Arabidopsis thaliana: one gene and its partners. The protein of the gene in region 3 interacts with the protein of the main gene of each other region in a pairwise test. Each region holds a gene or a part of one and is shown on either strand. Other genes may lie near its edges.

Region 1 (3,752 bases), on a different chromosome or scaffold from region 3:
CTCCATCTTCCAATGGTTTAATCCAGCAACTGTCGACGATGTCGATAACGTACTCCGCTATTTCCTGTAAGTTTCTTCCTCACTGTGTGTCGAATCCGTCCTCAATGCTCAATTTTATCCATTTATTGTGAGACTGTGATTGATTTTGGTTTCCGTTGTTTTATCCAGCTAGTACAGTTTCTGGGTTTTCACCAAAAAGTGTACCTTTTGCTATTCATAGCGTAACCAGGAGGCAATTTCTTAATCCCAACACGTTTTATAGATTTGGGTTCTCTCCTTCTCTTCAGGTCAGATTCCTTTACTAGTCAGTATCATCCAATTCTCCAGACTCTGCTTCGTTGTTGTTTTGGTTCTTAGAATTAGACCACACTTCGTTGCTTCCCTTTGAAGTAGAGAGTCAATGTTTACTGTTATGTGCGGATATGTTGTGCAGGGAAGTAGCATTGAGTTTAGCCTTCAGTTGAATTCAAGAGTTGTGCTTAGTAAAGAGCGTCGATCTCTGCCATTAGTTGTGAGAAATGATCGTCCTCAGAATGAAGACTTACCTAAGCAGTACACAAGGCGAGAGAAGAAACCTTTCCCAGTCCCTATTGTGGACCTGAGACGAGCTGCGAGGGAGAGAGTCAAGAACAACAAAGACAAACCTAAGAGACCTCTACCTCCGCCTAAAAATGGTATGGTTGTGAAGAGCCTTGTGCCTCTTGCTTATAAAGTATACAATGCAAGAATCAGATTGATCAACAATCTCCACCGGCTTATGAAAGTTGTTCGTGTTAATGCTTGTGGGTAAAAATTCTCTTCTTCTTCTTGTTTCATTTTTGGTCTGTTTTGAGTATGGCCTTTTTTTGATGTTGTATGATTGGTCTCTTAGGTGGTGCAATGAGATTCATGTTGGACCTTATGGGCATCCATTTAAGTCGTGTAAAGGTCCCAATACTTCCCAAAGGAAAGGTCTTCATGAATGGACTAACTCGGTTATTGAGGACGTTATTGTTCCTCTTGAAGCCTATCACCTTTTTGACCGCCTTGGCAAGCGTATCCGTCATGATGAAAGATTCTCGATTCCCCGAGTTCCTGCTGTAGTTGAGCTCTGCATTCAGGGCGGCGTTGAAATACCCGAATTTCCAGCAAAAAGGAGAAGAAAACCGATTATCCGCATTGGCAAAAGCGAGTTTGTTGATGCAGATGAAACTGAATTGCCTGATCCAGAGCCTCAGCCTCCTCCAGTGCCATTGTTAACTGAGTTACCTGTCTCAGAGATCACTCCCCCATCTAGCGAAGAAGAAACAGTCTCCTTAGCCGAAGAAACATTACAGGCCTGGGAAGAAATGAGAGCAGGAGCCAAAAAGCTGATGAGGATGTACAGGGTTAGGGTCTGTGGGTACTGTCCAGAGGTTCACGTAGGTCCAACGGGACACAAGGCCCAGAACTGTGGTGCATTCAAGCACCAACAGCGGAATGGCCAGCATGGTTGGCAATCTGCAGTACTTGACGACTTGATACCGCCAAGATATGTTTGGCATGTTCCTGATGTGAATGGGCCACCGATGCAGCGAGAGCTACGAAGCTTCTACGGGCAAGCACCTGCTGTTGTGGAGATATGTGCTCAGGCTGGCGCTGTTGTACCTGAGCATTATAGAGCTACAATGAGACTGGAGGTTGGAATTCCTTCGAGTGTGAAAGAAGCTGAGATGGTTGTTTGATATGTAGAAGACCTTGTAAACTTCTTCTTGTACAAAATCCTCCATTCCACCTTGTGTTGTATAATAATATCACAGCCCAGGTCTTTTTGACTTTTGAAGGACAAAAAAAACAATCCACGCTAATCCTATTATCAAGGGTAAAAATGTCATTTGCTTCGTTTTCATCTTTTCTCGTTGCCATTTTCTTTTTTTTGTCTGTGTCAAGTCGATACCACTTGTCTGGTAGCTTTATACCCACTTTCATCTTTTTCATGTTCGTAGTTGTTCCTCTGGTTATCCTCATCAACGGGACCCTTGAAACCGTGTAGCCATGTAAGCCTTTGTCTTTGTCTCTTTCTCTTGCTTCAGCAAGTTCACGTCTGCTCTATTTCTAATTTTGTTCTAAGATTCAATTCTCCTTTTTTCTATGCGAGAAATTTAAGATTGGTTCTCTAGCTCTACCTCTTTAAATTTGTTACTATGTGTCGGTGTCCATCATTCATCAAATTTTTTCCTTTTTTATCCATTTGAGTTGATGTAATGATGTTGCTTCGCTTCATACTGGTCAGAGTTAGTCTAATCTTCATTTTAGCACAACTTGACAACTTCATATGGTTATGACTTATTTTTACTTGGGTCTTTCAAAGGTTAAGTATTTTAGTCTTATTTTGGGATGATGCAGCTTGCTTAATGATTAGAGTCTTAAAGCTGTGCTCTTTCTTCATCGATTTGAGCAAGTGATCTTGGAAGGCTCTTGAGTTCTGAATTCCTTGTAAGCAATCATGGCAGGGAAAAGAGAAAACTTTGTGAGGTTAGTGCTGCATCCTTTTGTTTTAATACAAAGATCTGAAGTTTGAATGTGAGAAACGTATTGATTTGGCAATGGTTGTTTCTGATTTGTTTCCTTATGAAAGTATAGTGTGATTGTACTGAACTATAGCTTGTTGGTGCATAGTAATCTGAAAGTGGTGTTGTTCATACCTTTTATAGGGTGGATGATTTGGACTCTAGGTTACCATCATCATCTGTAGCCTTCCAACAGAACTACGCCTCCAATTTCAGTGGACAACTTCATCCTATTCATGCAAGCAATGAAACTTCTAGATCCTTCAAGAAAGGTATCCAGAAGGGTTCCAAAGGGCTTAAGTCGATCGGACGTTCACTTGGTTTCGGTGTTTATCGAGCAGTGTTCCCAGAAGACCTTAAAGTATCTGAAAAGAAGATATTTGATCCTCAGGATAAATTCCTTTTGTATTGCAATAAATTATTCGTTGCGTCATGTATTCTTTCAGTGTTTGTGGACCCTTTTTTCTTCTATCTTCCTGTGATTAATGCTGAGTCCAAGTGCCTGGGTATTGACAGAAAACTGGCTATCACAGCAAGTACATTGCGGACTTTTATCGATGTGTTTTATCTCGCTCACATGGCTCTCCAGCTTAGGACTGCTTATATTGCACCTTCATCACGGGTCTTTGGGCGAGGTGAACTCGTGATTGATCCTGCACAGATAGCAAAGAGATATCTACAACGTTGGTTTATTATTGACTTTCTCTCAGTACTTCCTCTCCCTCAGGTTGGTTAATATAAGTTTTGATCATTTCAGTAAATTGTGTGTTGGAAAACATCATTGCTTAATTTGTTGAAAGGGTGCAGTAGCCAGTAGTTGGTGATCAGACATCTCTGTCAAGCGCTTTCTAGTTCTAGATTTACAGTACTCATTTTGTGTATGTGCAGATTGTAGTTTGGAGGTTCTTGCAAAGTTCAAATGGGTCGGATGTATTGGCTACAAAGCAGGCCTTGCTTTTCATTGTTTTGGTCCAGTATATACCGCGATTCCTACGTGTCTTACCCTTGACGTCAGAATTGAAAAGGACAGCAGGTGTCTTTGCTGAAACGGCTTGGGCTGGTGCCGCTTATTATCTGCTTTTATATATGCTTGCAAGTCATGTGAGTTTATATACCTTTTTCATTTTAAGACGTTGCTTGTACTATTCAATGCTTGCCCATTCACCATGAGTTATGTGACTGTGGCACCAAAAGTGCAAAACAAGGAAATATTTGCATATCCGT
Region 2 (3,752 bases), on a different chromosome or scaffold from region 3:
AGGTTTGAAATGAACCACTTTGCAACCACCAACAAATACGCCTACAAATGTGGAAAATTTAGAAGAAAACAAAATGCTTTCTTCAGTTGAAATGTCAACAAAAGCAATCAAAATCTATTTGCTACCACCATTGACTATAGAAGGACAAGTCATCATCAGTACGATTGAATCCAGAGAAAACAAAAGATGAGACTTTTTGAAGATCCGTTTCAATAAAGTCAAAAACTTTGGCATGAGGGAAAAAGACCTAATAACAAAACAGAGTTTTTGACACAATAACCCAATAAGAAACCAAATGACGGTTTGTTTCTTCATCTCTGCAACGGAAAGAGGTAACATAAACCCTAAAATTTACACAAAGAAGATCCAAATTGAGGAAAAACTATGGATGATTCATGCCAAAAGCTCATTGATGATGAAATCAAAAGGAAGAAATCGAAGGTACCGTGGTGAGAATAAGCGAAGACGGCTCGATAAGTGTAGATGTGATCACCAGGTTTAAGCTCGTCTCTCTCGACTTTGTTCGTGAGTACACCCATTGCTTCGTCTTCCTCAAAATAAAAGCTTTCCCTTTGGCTTGTGGAAATTGCAGTGTACAAGTAGATTCTTACGTCAGCGGCAGAGATATGATTGGGCGATCAAACCGGAGACTGTTGAACCAATGCCGTTACAGAATCTTTTGACGGCGTTAACTGTTAGATGACGACAATCGCTGTGGAGGGTAATATGGTCAATATACGAAAAGGCTTTTGTGAACACGACGCCGTTTTTAAAGTGTCCCTGGAATCTTATTCTTCCTTTCTTGGTGTATTGGACTCATATTGGGCTTAAAGAAAACGCTCTACGGCCTAAATATCGAAAAGCGTATTATTTATCTATCAACCAATTGTTATTTTGCTCATTGCCAACTAATGAACAATGCTTAGAATTAATCAAATTTTCTAATCTGAACGAAGGAAGATATAAGTAGGAGTTTTATACAATCGATAATTGTATACTTAATTATTATTATAAGCTATATTGGTTAATGAGTTTCTTTGGAGTGAGTATATAATAAGAAAAATATATATAGAGCCGAGCGTAGTGGAGGTAGATCAGGCAATAATGGAAGAAACTTCGAGGAACTTCGCTTTTTGTTGTAACCACAAAAGCGAATATAACAATTAATACGGTTTGAGTAGGCTTGCAGATTTTCAGACAGCACTCCTACTGACAGATGTTTGAAAATTAAAATATTTATTGCGATTATTATAACAACACTGTAGTAAGGAACTTTTGGGTTATTTCATTGGTTTATTAAAGTCTTTAATCGTTGACTTTTTAATTTCATTATTATCTGTAAACTCGTATTTTAAGTGATTTTAATAATAATAATTTGAAAGTAAAATGGAATATCCCCCGATATCAAGCGAGCCGTACGGGAAAGGGAAAGTCAAACATGTAATAACAGTTTTAAATGAAGGGTACTACAGTCTTTTCAAGGGGTTAATAACGTTCCGTTTTCTTTATGGACAGCCAATCAGATGGGACCACGTATATCACTATTACCAAACCTTCGCTTTTCTGGAAAGTGGAAAGCAAAACCACAGAGAGAAGAGAAGAAGAACAAAGCAAAATATATTCAAAATTTAAGCAATAAAGGCAAAAATTAAAAGACAACGAGTTTCAAACACGAAACCACGACTTGTCCAAATCAAGATTTGTCCTTTTTCCTTTTTAGTGGTAGAACGCGAATCAAATTTGGGAATAAAATTTTACTTCTTACTTTTTCAAAAATTCTTGGGTCTTCTTCAGCTTTGTCTCCAAGCAAACTTTTAGTCAAATCATTTTTTTCTTTCTTGATGGACTTTCTTTCATGTTTGATATTTCAATGACGAAAGCTCTAACTGGTTTTTCTTGGAATTTAGGTAAGAATTTATACTCTGTTTCTCTCTCTGTTTAACTCAGTTCTTGTTTTGGGTTTCTGGGTTTGTATTTTTTTTAGATCTTTGATTATTTATTATGTTCTATGTTGTAAAAGATATCAAACCGTCAATAAAAACTGTAACTTTATTTGTTGTTTAAAAATTGATATTTCATTGTTTGATTGAAATTTTTCTACAGGAATTTGATAAACGGTTTCTCACATACACAAGAAGAAAATAACCGTTTTGAGTTAAAGTAAAGCTTTTGAACCAATGGAGGAGGAGAAGTCGTTCTCGGCGTGGTCTTGGTCTGTTGAGCAATGTTTGAAAGAGTACAAGACAAGATTAGACAAGGGTTTAACTAGCGAAGATGTCCAAATCCGCCGTCAAAAGTACGGTTTTAACGAGCTTGCTAAGGAGAAAGGCAAGCCTTTATGGCATCTTGTATTGGAACAATTCGACGATACGCTTGTGAAGATTCTTCTCGGTGCTGCGTTTATCTCTTTCGTTTTAGCCTTTTTAGGTGAGGAACACGGCTCAGGTTCAGGGTTCGAGGCCTTTGTTGAGCCTTTTGTGATTGTTTTGATTCTGATTTTAAACGCTGTGGTTGGTGTGTGGCAAGAGAGTAATGCTGAGAAAGCACTTGAGGCTCTTAAAGAGATGCAATGTGAATCTGCAAAGGTTTTGAGAGATGGGAATGTGTTGCCTAATTTGCCTGCTAGAGAGCTTGTTCCAGGGGATATTGTGGAGTTAAATGTAGGAGATAAAGTCCCTGCTGATATGAGAGTTTCCGGTTTGAAAACATCCACTTTAAGAGTCGAGCAAAGCTCGTTAACCGGTGAAGCAATGCCGGTTTTGAAAGGAGCGAATCTTGTAGTCATGGATGATTGTGAACTGCAAGGGAAAGAAAATATGGTTTTCGCTGGAACAACGGTTGTTAACGGAAGCTGCGTTTGCATTGTGACAAGTATAGGTATGGATACGGAGATCGGGAAAATCCAGAGACAGATTCACGAGGCGTCGCTTGAAGAGAGCGAGACTCCGTTAAAGAAGAAGCTAGACGAGTTTGGGAGTAGATTGACTACAGCTATTTGCATTGTCTGTGTTCTTGTGTGGATGATAAACTACAAGAACTTTGTTTCTTGGGATGTTGTGGATGGCTATAAACCTGTGAATATCAAGTTTTCATTCGAGAAATGTACTTACTACTTCAAAATCGCTGTTGCTCTCGCAGTGGCAGCGATACCCGAGGGTTTACCCGCTGTGATCACGACATGTTTAGCTTTAGGGACGAGGAAAATGGCGCAGAAGAACGCGATAGTGAGGAAGCTCCCGAGTGTAGAGACACTCGGTTGCACAACTGTGATCTGTTCAGATAAAACCGGGACTTTAACAACAAACCAGATGTCTGCAACCGAATTCTTCACATTAGGCGGTAAAACAACGACTACTCGAGTGTTTTCAGTCAGTGGTACGACTTATGATCCTAAAGATGGTGGAATTGTGGATTGGGGCTGCAACAATATGGATGCTAACTTGCAAGCTGTTGCTGAGATATGTTCAATTTGTAATGATGCTGGAGTGTTCTATGAAGGGAAGTTGTTTAGAGCAACAGGTTTGCCTACAGAAGCAGCATTGAAAGTTCTTGTTGAGAAGATGGGTATCCCGGAGAAGAAGAACAGTGAGAACATCGAGGAAGTTACAAACTTTTCAGACAATGGTAGCTCAGTGAAGCTAGGTAAGTTTTAGAATGTTTTCACACCATTACATTAGCACAATTTCATTCATCTGCTATGTTGTTGATTGATTGATCTTTTCTCCATTCTTGCTGCACTAGCTTGTTGCGAT
Region 3 (3,752 bases):
CAAACGAAAACACAGCCCATTTGTCATGCACCAATAGCATCACTTGAATGTATATGGGTATGAGTGAATATACCTTGGGGCCAGAGAGGGTTTCATTAGATAATAATATGCGGAGAGTGTTTGATGCATAACGTAGTTCCCAGTATACTTTGATGACCTCGAGAGATATATAACAGCAATCACAAGGGGCAAGAGAATACAGACACCAACTATCCAAAGCAATAATATGCCACCAGATGCTCCATCAATGTCTAGAAGAAATTGAGGAAGAGCAATGCCCATTTGAAATCCCTGCGATCACATAACAATATTTTAGTCTCAATAGGCTTGTCAATAAGACGGGAGCACATGCGAAGGGAAAGGAGATGTATCCTTACCTGTCTGCCATCTGGATGACCATACTTCTCAAAGTTTTCACGGGATACTGAATCAGTCAAAGCCTGGTATGCTTTAGATATGAACTCCACAAAATATTTATTGGCTTCTGTAGAGATCAACAAATGCGCATAGAAGAAAAAACTATCAGGATCAAAAGCTGCAACCATAATTCCGTAATGATCAAAAGGGAAAAAAAAAATAACAAGGGGAAAAACTTGACCTGGATCTGGATTTTTATCAGGATGGTATTGAATCGACAGCCTTCTATATGCTTTCTTTATTTCTGAATCTGTAACTCCAGGTTCCAGTCCAAGTATACTGAATGGGTCAAAAACTTGAGCCTGTAACACAAAAGAAGGTAAATAAGCAAGTAGAATTAGTTGATATAAGTCAGCGGTGCATTCAAGTTCAACAGCAAGCAATGGGATTACCTCACGGCTCATGTTCTTAGTGTAATAAATCAAGAAAATCATCACGACCCAGAGTAGCACAAGTGTCAAGTTGCTCCACGTAGAGAAGTTAGAGATCTGCAGATAGATAAGTGAAGAAGAGGTTAGGAACATGCAATAATCTATTACAGAGCAGGAGGTTGAGTGGAAAGTAACCTTTTTAAACAAGGATCTCTTATATTTTCCAGAACGGTCACACTCGAGACACTGACAATGAATGGTCCTTTGTTTCTTGGAGAGAGCACCGCTTAACTTGACCATGGTGTAAGGCACCAAAGGAATTGCCATAATCGTCAAGATAAAAATGGGAAACAATGCGCTATTCTCTTCTGACGCCGCCATCTTTGGAGCCTTTAAACTGAGAGATTCTATTCTGCTGAAAGGAAAAGCTCTGTTATAATCTCACAACATCCAAAAAGCTTCAAGGATACAAAATTATCAATAACATGAAAAGCTGGATCTGAGGCCACTGAAATTAATTAGGGATTCTACATGACGGAGATCAACACTAATAGATCTCGGCTAATCTAGTCTAAAGGTATATGAATCCCTGGACTCACTTTGAGATCGACACAAAACCTTAGAAAACAAACAAACGAAACTACGGGAAGGAAGCAAAACCAATAATTGGTGAAAGAAGATGAAATCGAACTTGAAAGGATATTGTAGAAGAGGAAATCGAAGAAGAAGCTCACCTAGGATGATAGCTCTCTATAATCAGAGAGATCGCGCTGCTGCAGATCGGCAACAAACGGCGTTGCAGTTTTTTTTTCTTTATGCTTCTCTTCTCTTCTAATTTCTGATTTCTGATTGGTGAGTTCTTTCTTCTTTACTTGCTTATTCACTTTTCTTTACCTTCTCAATTAAAATATTTCGCAATTCATTTCTCTCTTTACATTTTTACGAGTTATTTATTTTCCATTAAATTAGAGTAATTATTAATAGCAAAGTTTTTATGGTGAACGAAAACGAATTTCCCAAAAAAAATCACATTTTTTATAAATTAGAAAGGAAAAAGAGAAAAGGATATGGATCAAAGAGGGATTATATGCTCTAGAGATTTAATGTGATCCAGATATTGTAATAGGGATTGCAACAAATCTCTTATATGTTCTAGAGATTTAATGTGATCTAGAGATTGTAAATAGTTACAACAAAATAGAGATTTAAACAAAACAAATATTTAATGATTTTAAGAAAACTGTTTTGTTGTAACTATTTATATTTCGACCAGAAATAAATTGTTCTACTTGCAAAATACATCAATCTTCGTTATTATTATCGATTTAATCATAAACTGTCTAATTCAATTAAATTTATAAGAGCATGGTTACCAATACTTTTTTATCTACTGTAACGAAAGCTAATAATGATTTTGAATGAGTTTGGTATGATTTGGTTATTCGATTCACTAAAATAGTCGTTTTAAATCTAGCCAAATATCGTATAATTTTACTTGTTTTGATTATATTAAATAATCAGTTATTTGAAAACTTTGTTGACATGTTAATATTATATATAACTAAAACAAAATATAGATATTAAAAACAAAGAAAATGTTATTATATAGCTATTATCGTTTTTCATACCATTTAAATTTTATTACTGGCTTTCATATTATGATATTGTTGTACATAGACACCACTGCTAAAATGCTTATTAACTTGAGATTTTGCTTGTGAGATTTGGAGGCTAATTTTTTTCTCGGTTAAGCATTTCTCGCATCATATGCCTTCCACATAGTTTGAGCTTTTGTTCACCAAATGTTCTTACCACTCTCAAGAAACTGGCAGCACACGAATATGCTTTCCACATGGTTTGAGCTTTTCTCTTGGACAAAAACTCGTTCACCAAATGTTCCTACCACTCTCAAGAAACTGGCAGCACACGCATATGCCTTCCACATAGTTTGAGCTTCTCTCTTGGACAAAAACTCGTTCACCAAATGTTCCTTCCACTCTCAAAAAAATGGCAGCACACGGTGGAGTTTACCACATTTGAAAACAAGTAAATAATGTCTTACATAATTCACAGTCACTGCTTTCTTCGATCATTTTCAAGAATTTTGACCGTGAAATTTGCAATACCATATCTTCAAGAAGACATCTAAAAGGTTTTCGCAATCTGGTGATTAGGTTAATGCTCTTTTGTAATACATTTCTTTCATTTTATATATGATATTAACATTTATAACAAAAGAAAACAATCATAGCATATTGCATGTCATTGCAAGTTTGCTATATACAGTAGTTTTAAACCGAGTAAACTTAAGATCAGGTAGGAAAGATGCAAATAAAGAAGCAAGTGATACCAAAAATATATGTAAACATTTAATATAGTTCTTCAATCTAATTGACGATTAGAAAGTACTGTACTAGATGATTACGATCCAAGATTTTTGTCCACACTAAGAATATTTCACAAAATAAGGTTTGCAACAGTAGGATTGAAATGCCAGTAAACAGTGACATTATCTCGAAAAAATCCAACTCAGAAATCATTTACTAGCTAATAATATTTTTCAAATAGTTTAGAATTATTATTGTTGTTTATCATTAACGCATACAAAGTTAGTTGTATAATCTTTCAACTTATAAATAATTTGGTTTTGGACGGAAGAGCTTTACGCAAATGTATTAATTTGGTTTTGATAATTTTTATTTGTAGACTCGATTTGTTTACGTAAATTATGAAAGAGAGGCAAAAATAAATATCATAAGATATAGTATTAGAAGAAAAGGACATAAAAGTAGTAATTAAAAAAAAAAAGGAAAAGAAAGTGTGAAAAGAAAAAAGGAAAAGTAGAGAGGAACGCAACCCTGGGGGCTTCTTAATAAACCCCTCTCGCTCTCTTGTCTCTTCCTTACGACAACCTCTCCTGCTCTTCGTTTTCTCTCTACGACGATAAAACCCAGATTTGGGTTC

Evidence for each region.
Region 1: the proteins of ATERDJ2A (region 3) and CNGC5 interact in a protein complementation assay, tested with the Arabidopsis thaliana proteins (one large-scale study listed by BioGRID).
Region 2: the proteins of ATERDJ2A (region 3) and ECA2 interact in a protein complementation assay, tested with the Arabidopsis thaliana proteins (one large-scale study listed by BioGRID).

The regions. Positions count from the first base shown.
Region 1 is NC_003076.8:23,454,652-23,458,403, forward strand, and holds the start of CNGC5 (cyclic nucleotide gated channel 5), read left to right. Parts: upstream 1-1,913; 5' UTR 1,914-2,015; exon of another isoform or gene 2,016-2,246; intron 2,247-2,364; 5' UTR 2,365-2,464; coding exon 2,465-2,493; intron 2,494-2,672; coding exon 2,673-3,255; intron 3,256-3,416; coding exon 3,417-3,629; intron 3,630-3,752. Other genes in the region: APO2 (APO RNA-binding protein (DUF794)), read left to right, coding at 39-66, 169-287, 434-786, 872-1,703. UniProt on the Arabidopsis thaliana protein: Probable cyclic nucleotide-gated ion channel.
Region 2 is NC_003075.7:384,652-388,403, reverse strand, and holds the start of ECA2 (ER-type Ca2+-ATPase 2), read left to right. Parts: upstream 1-1,553; 5' UTR 1,554-1,907; intron 1,908-1,924; exon of another isoform or gene 1,925-2,103; 5' UTR 2,104-2,177; coding exon 2,178-3,642; intron 3,643-3,741; coding exon 3,742-3,752. Other genes in the region: AT4G00905 (NC domain-containing protein-like protein), read right to left, coding at 1-41, 446-539. UniProt on the Arabidopsis thaliana protein: This magnesium-dependent enzyme catalyzes the hydrolysis of ATP coupled with the translocation of calcium from the cytosol to an endomembrane compartment.
Region 3 is NC_003070.9:30,067,440-30,071,191, reverse strand, and holds the start of ATERDJ2A (DnaJ / Sec63 Brl domains-containing protein), read right to left. Parts: upstream 1,674-3,752; 5' UTR 1,523-1,673; exon of another isoform or gene 1,480-1,522; intron 1,204-1,479; exon of another isoform or gene 1,201-1,203; 5' UTR 1,170-1,200; coding exon 984-1,169; intron 906-983; coding exon 810-905; intron 720-809; coding exon 599-719; intron 485-598; coding exon 378-484; intron 292-377; coding exon 74-291; intron 1-73. UniProt on the Arabidopsis thaliana protein: Required for integral membrane and secreted preprotein translocation across the endoplasmic reticulum membrane.